Linked DNA regions of Tribolium castaneum. The protein of the gene in region 3 interacts with the protein of the main gene of each other region in a biochemical or structural test. Links are inferred from orthologs where the notes say so. Each region holds a gene or a part of one and is shown on either strand. Other genes may lie near its edges. The genes, in order: TfIIB, Cdk9 and TfIIFalpha.

Region 1 (4,244 bases), on a different chromosome or scaffold from region 3:
TCTAAGGACCGGTTTACAGAAAGAAGTGTCATTAGTTTAATTCGCAATTAACTGCGTGATTAACGTGACCATATTGAACAAATGTGATTGGTCCATTCGCGTTATTATAACATTTAAATACGAAATAAATTTTAACAAAGCTTTGTATCTATAAATCAATATTAATATTGTATTTTTCAGTAATTAATAATTACAATATCTACTGAGAGCAAAAGTATAAAACCAAGCCAAAACTATATACCTTACTAAAAATACGACCAATTAGTATAAAGATGGGATGTTTTATTTGTAGCCTCCCATAAAAAGGAGATTTTTTTTACTTTTTAATATAATCTCCTTGTAGTTATTAGCACTTATAGTCAATTGATGTTTCGAAATCTTTATACTATCCTTGTGGACCGATTCTTGTAACTCTTCAAAAAAACTTTTTTTAGCTGTAATTTCTTCAAACTTTGTTTTATACTTATTTCCAGTGTAATATTTTTTAAGTCCAGTAATAGACTGAAGCTAAATTGTTATACATTGGCGCATAAAATCCATTGGATTGCGTTAAAATAGCTCCAAGCATTGAAAATATCTGATTTTTTTCGGTGAGCTTTTGTGCTCAAAGAAGGAGCAATATGCCACCCATTTTGCCAATTTTTTCTCATACTTAAAAACTGATAAAAGATATGATGTTTGTGTTTTAAAATCCTCAAGGTTTGAACTATTTTATACAACTTTCATTTGTAATCTTCCAATACCGTTCTTTGGATTTTTCTGACTATTTCTGCAGGAGAAGCACTTTTCAACTTTTTTCGACGTGGTGTTTCCTAAGGCCTGTACCTGTATGGCTCAATTGAAACTTTGCAATACAGTTTTAACTATGCTAATGTAGAACCTAACACATTTTAAAAATATTTCTTTACAGTTCGAAACTCAGGTTTCACCATTTCTTAAAAAATCGAAAACTTAGGGCAGCCAATACAGAATTTGATACAAGCTTAGTCACTCTTCGAAAGGATAAAACTACATAAAAATATAATAATTAATGAAAAAAAGTCAACTGCTTTCTATAAGAGACCGCGAATTAGTCATCACATTCTAATCTATAATTTCATTCTAAAATAAATTATTAAATTTGCGTTCCGAGCTCATTACGAAGGTTTTTTGAGCTTGGTCGAAGTAGTTGAAAAAAAATATTGCCAAAACTTCAACTTAAAAATCTAACTCGAGAAGAACTGTATGTTGTGAAAAAATACACAAACAATGTTTTGTCAGTTGGATGTGACTGTCTTACCCAAGAGATGGTTCCGATTTCCCGAACGTTTTAAATCAGCTTATATTGCTTTGAAATTGGCGCCAGTTTATTACTTTTGAGGTCGCTACTGTACGTTCTTAACAGAAATCTGCTTTACCAATAAACTGGAAGTCGAATGACTGAAACCTGTTTTATCGGTACAGTGTCGATTAACTATCACACTTGTCAAAACTTGAAAATTGTCATAATAACAATAAATAGAGAAGAAATAGTGCAAAATTGTACAAGATGGCGAGTAGTTCAAGGTATTTTAGCATAAATAACTTGTTACGATTCCAATTTCAATAATAATGATGTTAACCTCAAATAATATTTCAGGTATGACACGAATAAGGTTTGTTGTAATTCTCATCCAGATGCCCCCCTTATTGAAGATTACAGAGCAGGCGATCAGATTTGCTCCGAATGCGGTTTAGTAGTAGGTGACAGGTAATATTCAAATCAATAAAACGCATCATAAGTTTATTTGCTTGCATCATTGTAGAGTAATAGACGTTGGATCTGAATGGAGAACCTTCAGCAACGAAAAATCGGGGGTCGATCCTTCTCGTGTTGGTGGCCCCGAGAACCCCCTTCTTAACGGCTCAGACCTGACCACAATGATAGGCCCCGGTCGAGGTTTGTTTTATTTAAATATTCCACTCAAATAAGCCTTTAAATTAAAATGTTAGTGAAAAGCTTACCTTTTTGAAATAAGTTACTGTCTGTGCTACTGTGAAGTATTTCAAAACGTTTTGTTTGAATCACGAGAAGGTATTGAAAAAACGAATAAACGAATAAAATGTTTCGTAATGATTGTAAAAAATCGATGACTTGGAAAAAAGTTTTTAATAAGAATTGTAAAGCATAAAATTCTATATATTAATATTCTGCCGAATTTTTTGACATTATTCAAATAAACAGAGTTTAGGGTGGTTGCAATAAATATAAAGGGATGATCTGTACAATTTTAAAAAGTGACTATAAACATTTGATTATTTTGCAAAATTTTCTGCTGCGTTGTAATCCGAAGGTCGTTTTTGTATTGGAAATTGTTTTCATTATGAAAAAGACGTTTTAGCGAAAAAATTACACAAACCTAAAACTGGACAAATCTTGAGTTTACAACCTCGTGTCTTCCTTTTTGATAAAGCTAGAATTTTTTTTCACAAAATTTTCAATTAATGTGGATGTTTACGTAGTTACTTAGTTGAATATTTATAAAGGGAACCCGAAAAAAATACATTTTCTTGTAACGTTGCATATTTGTGTATCGAAATTTTTGAGATGCAAGAAAGTTTTTTTGTTGTATAAGACAAACCTCTATTGAATAGAAATGGAATGAAGCTATTCCAGTAATATTTAGACAACTCTTGATTATTAACTGGCAATATTGCTGACCAGGATACTTGCCTCTTGTGATCGGTTTGAAGTTTAAAAAAATTGGGAAAATTTTGATTTTTAACTGTTAAAATTAAACAAGCCCCCTCTAATAACCCGAACGGTATTTATTGTACCTACAATCCGAACGTTTGAATTTCGTAATCCGAAATACCACATGTTGATTTTAATTCTTGATAGTTGTTTGCAATACATTTTAATTTTGTATTTTTTTATTTTGAAACACTTAACGGTGTTTATAGCCACTGAGTATAATTTTTGTGGTAGGGATATGTATTTGCATGGTTATTTGGTTATGTAAGGTAACTGTAAACCGAACGCGTGTTGGGATTATTGATATTATTTGCAATCTGCAAATTTTCTGTTCGAATTATTCAAACATTACTGTACTTCATATCAGCTTTTGGTCACGAATCATTTCGATATCTGTAATAGTTTTTGAAATATTGGGAAAAATCCACTAATAGAGGGAGCACCCTTTTCAGAGTGTGTAGGGTAGGTTTCTTACGAAGTACTTATCAATACATGTTTATAGGAAACGTTTGTCTTAAAATTGAATGTTCTATCATCTGTTTAAATTCGTAACAATAAAAACGGAACACTCTGTATAAATGTTGCTCTTATTTCTTACGATGGGAAACACATCCAATAATTTTTAATTTCTACTGGCTAATTTTGTCATTGTTAAAGTCTTTCAATAAAGTAAAACCTGTGTGAATAACTTTTAAAGTTATTTGCATGCACAAGATTTTTTTACCCCATATGTGTAAACAAAAAGTAAATTAATTAGAAGTTGTAACATATTACCTTGTTGTTCGTTTTCGTGGTTTCAAAAGATTCACCTTTAACTTCAAAGATAATTGTTGGAATTAGTGCACTTTAAATTAACAGAATTGTATAATGATTGCTCAACGAAAAAAATGTGAGGTCTTTTCTGTGTCCCGTCCGTCATCAATTTGTGTTTCTTTTTCCTGTCCATATTTGAATTTTTACAAATGTGGCTCCTATGTAGGTTGCAAACCGTTTAACTGGTACTAAGTTCCTATAAATAAAAATTCACTTTTACTGATACTGTTCATAAAAACTGAAAATGAAATAGAAACCATGTGAAGTGTCCCGTCCGTTAAAATGGAATGGCTGCTAAAACATACTTTGTTTTTGATTTTCAAAACGTTTTTAACTTATATGTATAGAAAGATGCAAGCTTTTTCCCAAAATTTTGATTTATTTATTTTGACTGGACAACAAAACTTATCACAGTTTGTCTTTTAATTTTTTTCCAGGGGACGCCTCCTTTGATAGTTTCGGTGTCGCGCGCTACCAGAACCGTAAAACCATGAGCAGTTCCGACCGCGCTTTGATCAACGCTTTTCGTGAAATCAACGGAATGGCGGATCGCATTAATCTTCCAAGGACTATAGTAGACCGTGCTAATAACTTGTTCAAACAAGTGCATGATGGACGTAACTTGAAAGGACGCTCTAACGACGCCATAGCGTCGGCGTGTCTTTACATAGCTTGTCGGCAAGAGGGCGTCCCTCGAACGTTCAAAGAAATCTGCGCC
Region 2 (3,906 bases), on a different chromosome or scaffold from region 3:
ATTTTCGGTTATTGTTTCGTATGTAATATTTTTTACTTAACTATAAATGTGGATGTGGATTTAATCTAACAATATTATATCACTGTATTTGACACATTCAGACAAAGAAATAAAATGTTTAACATTAAGCTGTTGGTTTTCATTCCCCCAGCACGCCGCAAGGAGGATTTGGATACGTAGTTATTTTAAGAAAAATGAAATGTTTTATTTGGTATAATTCAAGTGGCAGCTTACTTCAAGTTTCTGTCTCACAAGAAGCTTTCAGAAAAAAATTAAACTCAAGAATAATATCAACTGATAAATAATTATAAACCAATAAGCACAAAATATGAATGATCGCTAATTGCAAGCTCCCTGATTAATTATTCAACCATTAAAACCTTCATATTGAATTATAAATCGATCCTTCGGAGAGAAACAATATTATTCTCTTTCTTTAAGATTTATATCAGTTAGAAATTCTATTTATTTTTAAGTAGTACCGTTGAGGTGCCCTTCCAGTTAACAACAATTTAACAGTCTTGTTAGGCATTTTAAACATATTATTAGTCAAGCCAATTTTTGTCCGATTGGCGGTTACAGGGTTGCAACTCCTTCAAAACCTGCTACCAACTGAAACATTGATTCTGGATCACTTTGTATCAAAAATGAATACACAGACCAAAATTAGCTTGTCTTCAAAAAAGTTAATTTAGGAATTCCTTCTTACCTTTTGCTCCTGCGATGAAATTACACGCGAAGATGCTTCTTCCAAAGAAGGAAACGAAGGAAATAAGATGAAAACAGGAAGGACAAGGAAAAATATTAATTTTCACAATTCGACGACACTTGAATATAACGGCGGAGAGTTCTCAAAAATCTGAAAAGCTCTTACTTAAAATAGTGTTTCAAACACAAAACACAACGTCATGGTACCTTTTTTCCCTTTTTTCCGAACCCAGAGTACCATCAAGACACTTCAAGACCATGGAATATCAGCGACCTCTTCACAAAATGAAATTAAGTACTATTCGTAAACAGAAAACTGTAATCTTCTTAAATCAACAAAAGGCACAACAAAAAATATGATTAAGAACGCAAAAGTGTTAATATTGATTACTAAAGTCTTAATTTTTACGAATGATAATGATATTATCATTTCCTATTTTCTTTAAATAAATAATTATATAAATAAATTTGTTGGTTTACTGCGTTTGTAGTTAGAACATTTTGGTAGCAGTGCCAAAATGCTAAAAGTTATCAATTGGTGTTACAATTTGGTAGATTTTTTTTTAATTTCGATAAAATACTGTATTTTTCGAGCTGAAAACCATTCGCGAGCAGGCTCACCCAACCGCGCTTTTTTTCCGTGACATTGTCTATTGTCATATGTCATTCCTGGAGGTTATGTTTTGATTGTGTGTGTTTTTAGTGCAATTGTGATTCAGAAAAAAGCAGCGGAAATGCATTTAAGTACTTTAAATGTGGTGTTTTAAACCTTCACACGTTTCTTCTTAATTGACGAAAAACTGTGCTAAATATTGCCTTGTCTAAAGCTTGTGCAACGTTAGACAAGAGGCGATTTTGCAATCATGAATATGCGAGATAAAGAGAAATACATTGAAAATTTCCATTTCCCGTTCTGTGATGAATCGGAAAAATACGAGAAAATTGCGAAAATTGGCCAAGGAACGTTCGGGTAAGTGACTTAGTTGGGGTTACTTGGGGTCACATATTGTGCCCCATTTGTTGTATTTCTCCGATTGTAGTGAAGTGTTCAAGGCGAGGGACAAAAGTAATCCTAAGAAATTCGTAGCAATGAAAAAAGTGTTAATGGACAATGAAAAAGAGGGCGTAAGGGGTCATTAATTTTTTGCAAAGCTTTCAAACTTGTATTCTAGTTTCCAATCACAGCTTTGCGCGAAATACGAATTTTGCAACTATTGAAACACGAAAACGTTGTTAATCTTATAGAAATATGCCAAACTAAGGCTGCATACCGCAACAGATACAAGTCAACGTTTTATTTAGTGTTCGATTTTTGTGAACACGACTTGGCCGGGTTGTTGTCAAACGTCCACGTTAAGTTTAGTCTAGGAGAGATAAAAAAAGTAGTGCAACAATTATTTAACGGTCTGTATTACATACACAGCAACAAAATTCTTCATAGAGATATGAAAGCCGCCAATGTGTTAATTACAAAGAATGGTGTTTTAAAATTGGCCGATTTTGGCCTAGCTCGTGCATTTAGTACCAATAAGAATGGACTGCCAAATAGGTGAGTTCAAACAGTAAATTAAAAAATTGGTCACTAGTTTGTAATCTACTATTTCAGATTTACAAATCGTGTCGTTACGTTATGGTATAGGCCTCCAGAACTGTTGTTAGGTGAAAGAAACTACGGCCCCCCAGTTGATTTGTGGGGGGCTGGCTGTATTATGGCCGAAATGTGGACAAGGTCCCCCATAATGCAGGGCAACAGCGAGCAACAACAGCTCACTCTGATTTCTCAACTTTGTGGCACCATCTGCCCCCAGGTCTGGCCAGGAGTTGAGAATCTGGAGTTGTACAAGAAGATGGAACTCCCCGTCCAAAAGCGAAAAGTAAGTCCCGTAGGAACAAAGATCGCTTCAATTATAAGCCTAGAATATTTATTTAATCCTCTGTACGAGGTAATGTTTCCACCACGTTCTGAACTGTAGTTTATAAACCGTAATTATTTACATATAAATTCGGAAAAAATGTGATTAAACAAGATCACAGATTTTATTTTTATTATTATTATTTTTTAATCTTCTCCAGGTGAAAGAGAGGCTGAAGCACTACATGAAAGACCCGTACGCTTGTGATTTACTCGATAAGCTGTTGGTCCTCGACCCCGCCAAACGGGCCGATGCTGATACGGCCCTCAACCATGACTTTTTCTGGACTGACCCAATGCCATGCGATTTGAGCAAAATGTTAGCCACTCACACTCAAAGCATGTTTGAATATTTGGCTCCGCCGAGAAGACCGACACAAATGAGGCATCATTCGTTGCCAAGACCGACAACTTCCGCTGTGCAAGACAGCGGATACCAAGATAGGGTTTTTTAGTTGTAAGAAACACGGACATTGTGGTTATTTTCAAGTAATGTGGAAATTGTTTCTAAAGTGGAAACATAACTGAAGGTTTTTCGGGAACCCTAAAATTTGATGTTACTTTTTATTATCTTTTTGTAACGTTTAATATGATGTTACTTAGTTAACATAGCGAATAAACTGTGTAAAAACGCTTGGTGTTTTTTTGGGGTGGAATGAAATGACTTGTTAGTACATATTATATATTTTATTGGTTTGACTGCACTGCCATCCGGCCTTACAATTCAACAACATGGCACACTGTACATGTATCTGTAAAATAATATATATGTATCTGTACATATCTGTTAGCTTGTTTCATAGATCCTCTACATAGGTAAATAACATTCTTGAAGGAGAAACCTTCATTCAAGGCACTTCAATAATCATTGTCTTCTCTTCATTTAATTAGATGTAGTTTCCTACCCATTTCAAATTGTTCTAAATTAACGCAATAACATTGTAACTCTGTTGCTAATTTAGTTGAGCTTACCGAAAGTTTTGGCAAAAAGAACTGGTAAATAAAATGAACCACTCATAACAATGACCTTTCAGAATACTGATTACGAAACCGTAAAATTTTGAAGGCAAATATCACAGAATGCCCAACAAATTACACATTAAATCACATTTAATTGTAAAACATTGCGGAGGACGTCAAACTTAACAAACGAGAAATTAATCAATCATGGCATATTTACATTTTCGGGCGCGGTTAAATTTAACCCCTCCTTCACTTAATTAACTTAACATTAAATTGAATTTATCTAAGACATTCTGTATATACACAATAAATAACAATTCTTG
Region 3 (4,249 bases):
AAAAAAATTGTGGAAATAAAATAGTCGCTAAGACTGCGGTATATTTGTTGAGATTATTTTCTGAAGCAAAACCCTGACAAGGCACCTAATTTGACATAATCGTTAAAAAATAACTTCATCATTTCCTCAATCTTACATGGACACCAATAAAGATGTTTAATACAGTGGAGCGTAAGTCACTATTACATTTTGAAAATGTTTCGTTTTAATTCAGTGGAAATTAAAATTAAAAACTAATTAAAAATATTTTAATCATTTTCTCTGAGAAATACGCTTGAATAACTGTGATTCTTTCTAAATTCTCGAAAACTGATTCCGTTTTGCGGTTAAAATATCTTTGAATTTCGAAAAAGATCTTTCTACATCACAACTGGTTACAGGAGTAAATAAAAAGTTTGGTGCTAATGCAAAATATGTCGAAGGTGGTACATTATTCGCTATTTGTTTTAAAACTAGAAAATCGGGATTTCTAGTAACAACTGCGTCAATTTTTGCATTAAATTTATCTTGTAATGACCATTCTACAGATTTTAACTCTATCAACGTAGACTCAAATTTCTCAACTGTAATGGATAATTTAAAATTTTACGTTTCTAGAAATTTGATCGTAGTTGGAATATTTCAAAAATTATTTTCAATAAAATTAAGTTGAGAAACTAAATTTGTGGTTAAAACTAAAGTTTTACATTATTTAATGCTTTGTGCATCGTCGTTTAAAGCAATAAACAAATGATTTTAATTGATTAAAATTTTTAGAAATTTGCTTCTAACCAAGTACCACAGCGTGTAACTACAATTGTTGATTCGTCAGAAACGTTACGATTTGTATATTTTTTTAAAAAGGACTTTAAAGAAGGATTATTTAGTTATCTACAAAATGTGCTCGAGGTGAAATCGCAGCGTATTTCCCTTTGAAACGTGGTGTGGTTGAAAACATTTCAAGGGCTAAAAATGGTAAATAATTAAAAAAATATTAATGTCACACCAAAGAATACTTTGAAATGAATTACAATTTTACAATTTAGTTTTACTGGGTCACTTATATGCTTTTTAAATAAGTACATGAGATAAAAATGTTCTTTTGACTTTTTAGATATTATTAAAATTAACTGAGAGTTAGGGCGGTTAAAAGTAAAGGTATAATATTAATAGATAAGTGACATTAATTATTTTTTAATTATTTACGAATTACGATTTTTAGCTCTCGAAATGTTGTCAAAGGCGATGAACACGCTTCAGAGGGAAATACGCTTCGGTTTCACCTCAGGCGCATTTTGCAGTAATTTTAAATTGCAATAACTTGGTGAGTCTTACAGATAACGAAATGATTCTTGCACCAAAAATTGATTTCAAGTATTAGCTTTATTTCGTCTCGATTATGTGGGAGTCTATCTTTTAAATTAAAAAACTTTCTCGCATCTCGAAAATTTCACTACACAATTATGCAACGTTACAAGAAAATGTATTTTTTTTTTGGTTTCCCTTTATCAAAACTCTACCTTGTTAAACTACGTATAAATCTGCATTTATTGAAAATTTGTTTGCAAAAAAACGGAGTTTCTAGCTTTATCCAGAAGGAAGATGTGAGTATGTAAACGCAAAATGTGTCCAAGTTTAGGTGTTTGCAAATTTTTAGCTAAAACGTCTTTTCAGCCCCTTCGCGAGGGTTGAAACAAAAAATTCTTTGTCTAAACATTTTTTAATACTCTTTCCTAACTTATATCAACAATGTAAGCTGTTCCACAACATTTCGATTTAAAGGTTTATCTGACTGCAAGCGCGCGCCCATGCACTAACCTTCGCCCATAAAATTTCCTCACACTGGTTATTACAGCTAAACTAATGATTAAAAAAAACGTTAATAACATTATTAAATTCTCTGTAAAAAATGTTTAAAAATCAATAAATCATAAATACTTGTTGGGCAATATATTTTTCACAGTTTCAATTGAAAATCCAAAATTTTTTCATAGCCTACTATAAAGAAAAAGCGGAATGTTATATTTTTTTAAATATTTAAAAATAATGTGTTACACAAATAGATATATCAAATCAGAGAAAAATAGTATTTTCAAAAATATCACAGCCGCCTATGATTCCTATTTAAAAAAATAAAACTTTATGTTATTGCAGCTAAACTAAAAGTTAAAATAAACTGCTGATAACATTAAATTCTCTGTAAAAAAGTGTCAGTATAATATCTTTGTTTCAAATGTGTATCTTTTATAATAACGAAGATATGAATTTTTTTAAGATTTTGCTAAAATGACAACTTTTGTGTATTAGTTTTTTGTTTGTTTCATTTGAAAACTAATTAGGTTAAACGTAGATAAATAAATTAAAAAAATAATAAAAACAATACTAATTTTCGGACAATGGGTTTATCGAAGGCGACCATGAATTTGACGTATCTTTGACATTTGTTAATCTTGACATGACATGACATCTTGACGTTTGTTAATAAATTTTAGATACTTTTTATTATGCAATTTGTTGGGCTGTTATCAGTGATCATTTAAGTGCGTTATGTTATGTATTACTTTGGTTGTTCTTCTTCGACGCTTTTGTACTCTTTCAAATTATTCTCCCTTTCCATTTTGACCTGCGTCCACTTGGCAAAATCCACTTCAAGATTTCCATTAAATCTCATTACATGGTATCGCTTCTGGACGTTTTTCGGTACTTTGATTGTATACTCCTTAACACCGGCTGGGGCCTGTGATTGCTTCTGCTTGAACAGAATAAAATTAATTTGTGAAAACTTAAAACTGTTATTTTATACGTACAGAGGCGGCTGAACTTGTCGCCATTTTAACCAAATTACAATTAATTGCAAAATTTATTAGTTAAATTAAACTCAAATTAAAAAATAGACCTATTTAGAAAACAGCTGTCAAACAAGTTCGTTTAGAGGTTAGGTCACCATGTCGGTAACACAGGTGCCATACTTAGGGCAGATACTTTCTAACGTGACAAAAACCGTGGAGTCAGTTGTATTTTTTTTATTGTTTTCTAATTTTTATTAACAAACAGAAACATTTATTACAATATAAAATTCCATAAAAACCGGGAAGCTTTTAATTTAAAAAAAAATGTACAACTAACTTTAATTCCAAAAAAAATCGACAGAAATTCTAGTAATTTCAAAAAATCAACCAAAAACTTCGAAATATCAATAATTTGTATAAACTCCAAATTAATTCCTGTAATTTTCATAATTCCCTAGTGGGTAATTCCTGAAATTACAAATAGTCCTAAGGAATTCAAATAATCTCGAATAATTCCAAAAAACTCCAGTCATTCACAAATTATTCCAAAAGTCCGCAAATAATTCCAGCAATTTCATAAATTCCAAAAATAATTTTAATAATACAAAATACTTCCAAAAACTTTAAAGCAATTCGGATGAAATTGATAATCCGATATTGCTCTATTATTTTATAAAAAATATCCACAGGAAATACATGATGAAATGTAGGTATGACTAAGATCGTAAACATTTTAAGGTTTTGTGTAAAATAATAATCCCAAAACTCAAACTGATTAGATATTTTCTATATTTAATAATTTTTGTCAATTTCCTTTTTATTACTTCACTAAATAAGTAGGTATTAGCTGTTTCAAAACTGTAAAAACACCAACGTCGCATTTTACCGAATAATTTTTTTTAATAAGGTTGATAAAATTGTAAAATAATAATTAATCATCGAAATAATTGTTAATCATCGAAAATATAAATTACATTAGCTATTATTTTTTTGAAGTGCATGAAAATTTTATTAGAGCTACACTTATTACTCTTATTAACATCTCATAGATCTATCTCTTACAGTTTTTGAAATAATCGCAAAAAAACAGAATTCTAACTCAATAGTTTCATTTTTAGTCGAAAAAACTTCCAAACATACAATAAAATTGTGCCATTGATTAAAAGAAAAGTTAGATTTGTTCACCATTTTTACTCAAGAAGTTCAAAATTCGATGGCAGACTGACTGCGTTACTTGTGGCACTTTTTTTATTCTTTCATATCATTTAATTGTCTGTCACATGATTATTTTGCATTTTCGTTACTTTCTTCTTAAAAATTAGAAATTGCAGAGTTAATTACGAACTTTTTGTCACATTTACATCAAAAACTGTTTTCTGAGACGGAATTTAACCCTGTTTCTATGTTTTCGTATCTACATATTCATCTTGGATTTAACATTAATGATATTTTTTCAAAATAAATTAAACACTGAACCCAAC

The links.
Region 1: the proteins of TfIIFalpha (region 3) and TfIIB form a complex in vitro, tested with the Homo sapiens proteins (3 studies listed by BioGRID and IntAct). The link is inferred for Tribolium castaneum from reciprocal best matches to the Homo sapiens genes GTF2F1 and GTF2B.
Region 2: the proteins of TfIIFalpha (region 3) and Cdk9 form a complex in vitro, tested with the Homo sapiens proteins (2 studies listed by BioGRID, with this or other methods). The link is inferred for Tribolium castaneum from reciprocal best matches to the Homo sapiens genes GTF2F1 and CDK9.

Annotation. Positions count from the first base shown.
Region 1 is NC_087398.1:13,751,985-13,756,228, forward strand, and holds the start of TfIIB (transcription initiation factor IIB), read left to right. Parts: upstream 1-1,396; 5' UTR 1,397-1,528; coding exon 1,529-1,545; intron 1,546-1,618; coding exon 1,619-1,729; intron 1,730-1,784; coding exon 1,785-1,918; intron 1,919-3,963; coding exon 3,964-4,244. UniProt on the Homo sapiens protein: General transcription factor that plays a role in transcription initiation by RNA polymerase II (Pol II). Involved in the pre-initiation complex (PIC) formation and Pol II recruitment at promoter DNA.
Region 2 is NC_087394.1:32,585,639-32,589,544, forward strand, and holds Cdk9 (cyclin-dependent kinase 9), read left to right. Parts: upstream 1-1,345; 5' UTR 1,346-1,571; coding exon 1,572-1,678; intron 1,679-1,748; coding exon 1,749-1,833; intron 1,834-1,880; coding exon 1,881-2,257; intron 2,258-2,314; coding exon 2,315-2,582; intron 2,583-2,781; coding exon 2,782-3,075; 3' UTR 3,076-3,253; downstream 3,254-3,906. UniProt on the Homo sapiens protein: Protein kinase involved in the regulation of transcription.
Region 3 is NC_087400.1:9,147,280-9,151,528, reverse strand, and holds the start of TfIIFalpha (general transcription factor IIF subunit 1), read right to left. Parts: upstream 2,941-4,249; 5' UTR 2,811-2,940; coding exon 2,787-2,810; intron 2,732-2,786; coding exon 2,541-2,731; intron 1-2,540. UniProt on the Homo sapiens protein: TFIIF is a general transcription initiation factor that binds to RNA polymerase II and helps to recruit it to the initiation complex in collaboration with TFIIB. It promotes transcription elongation.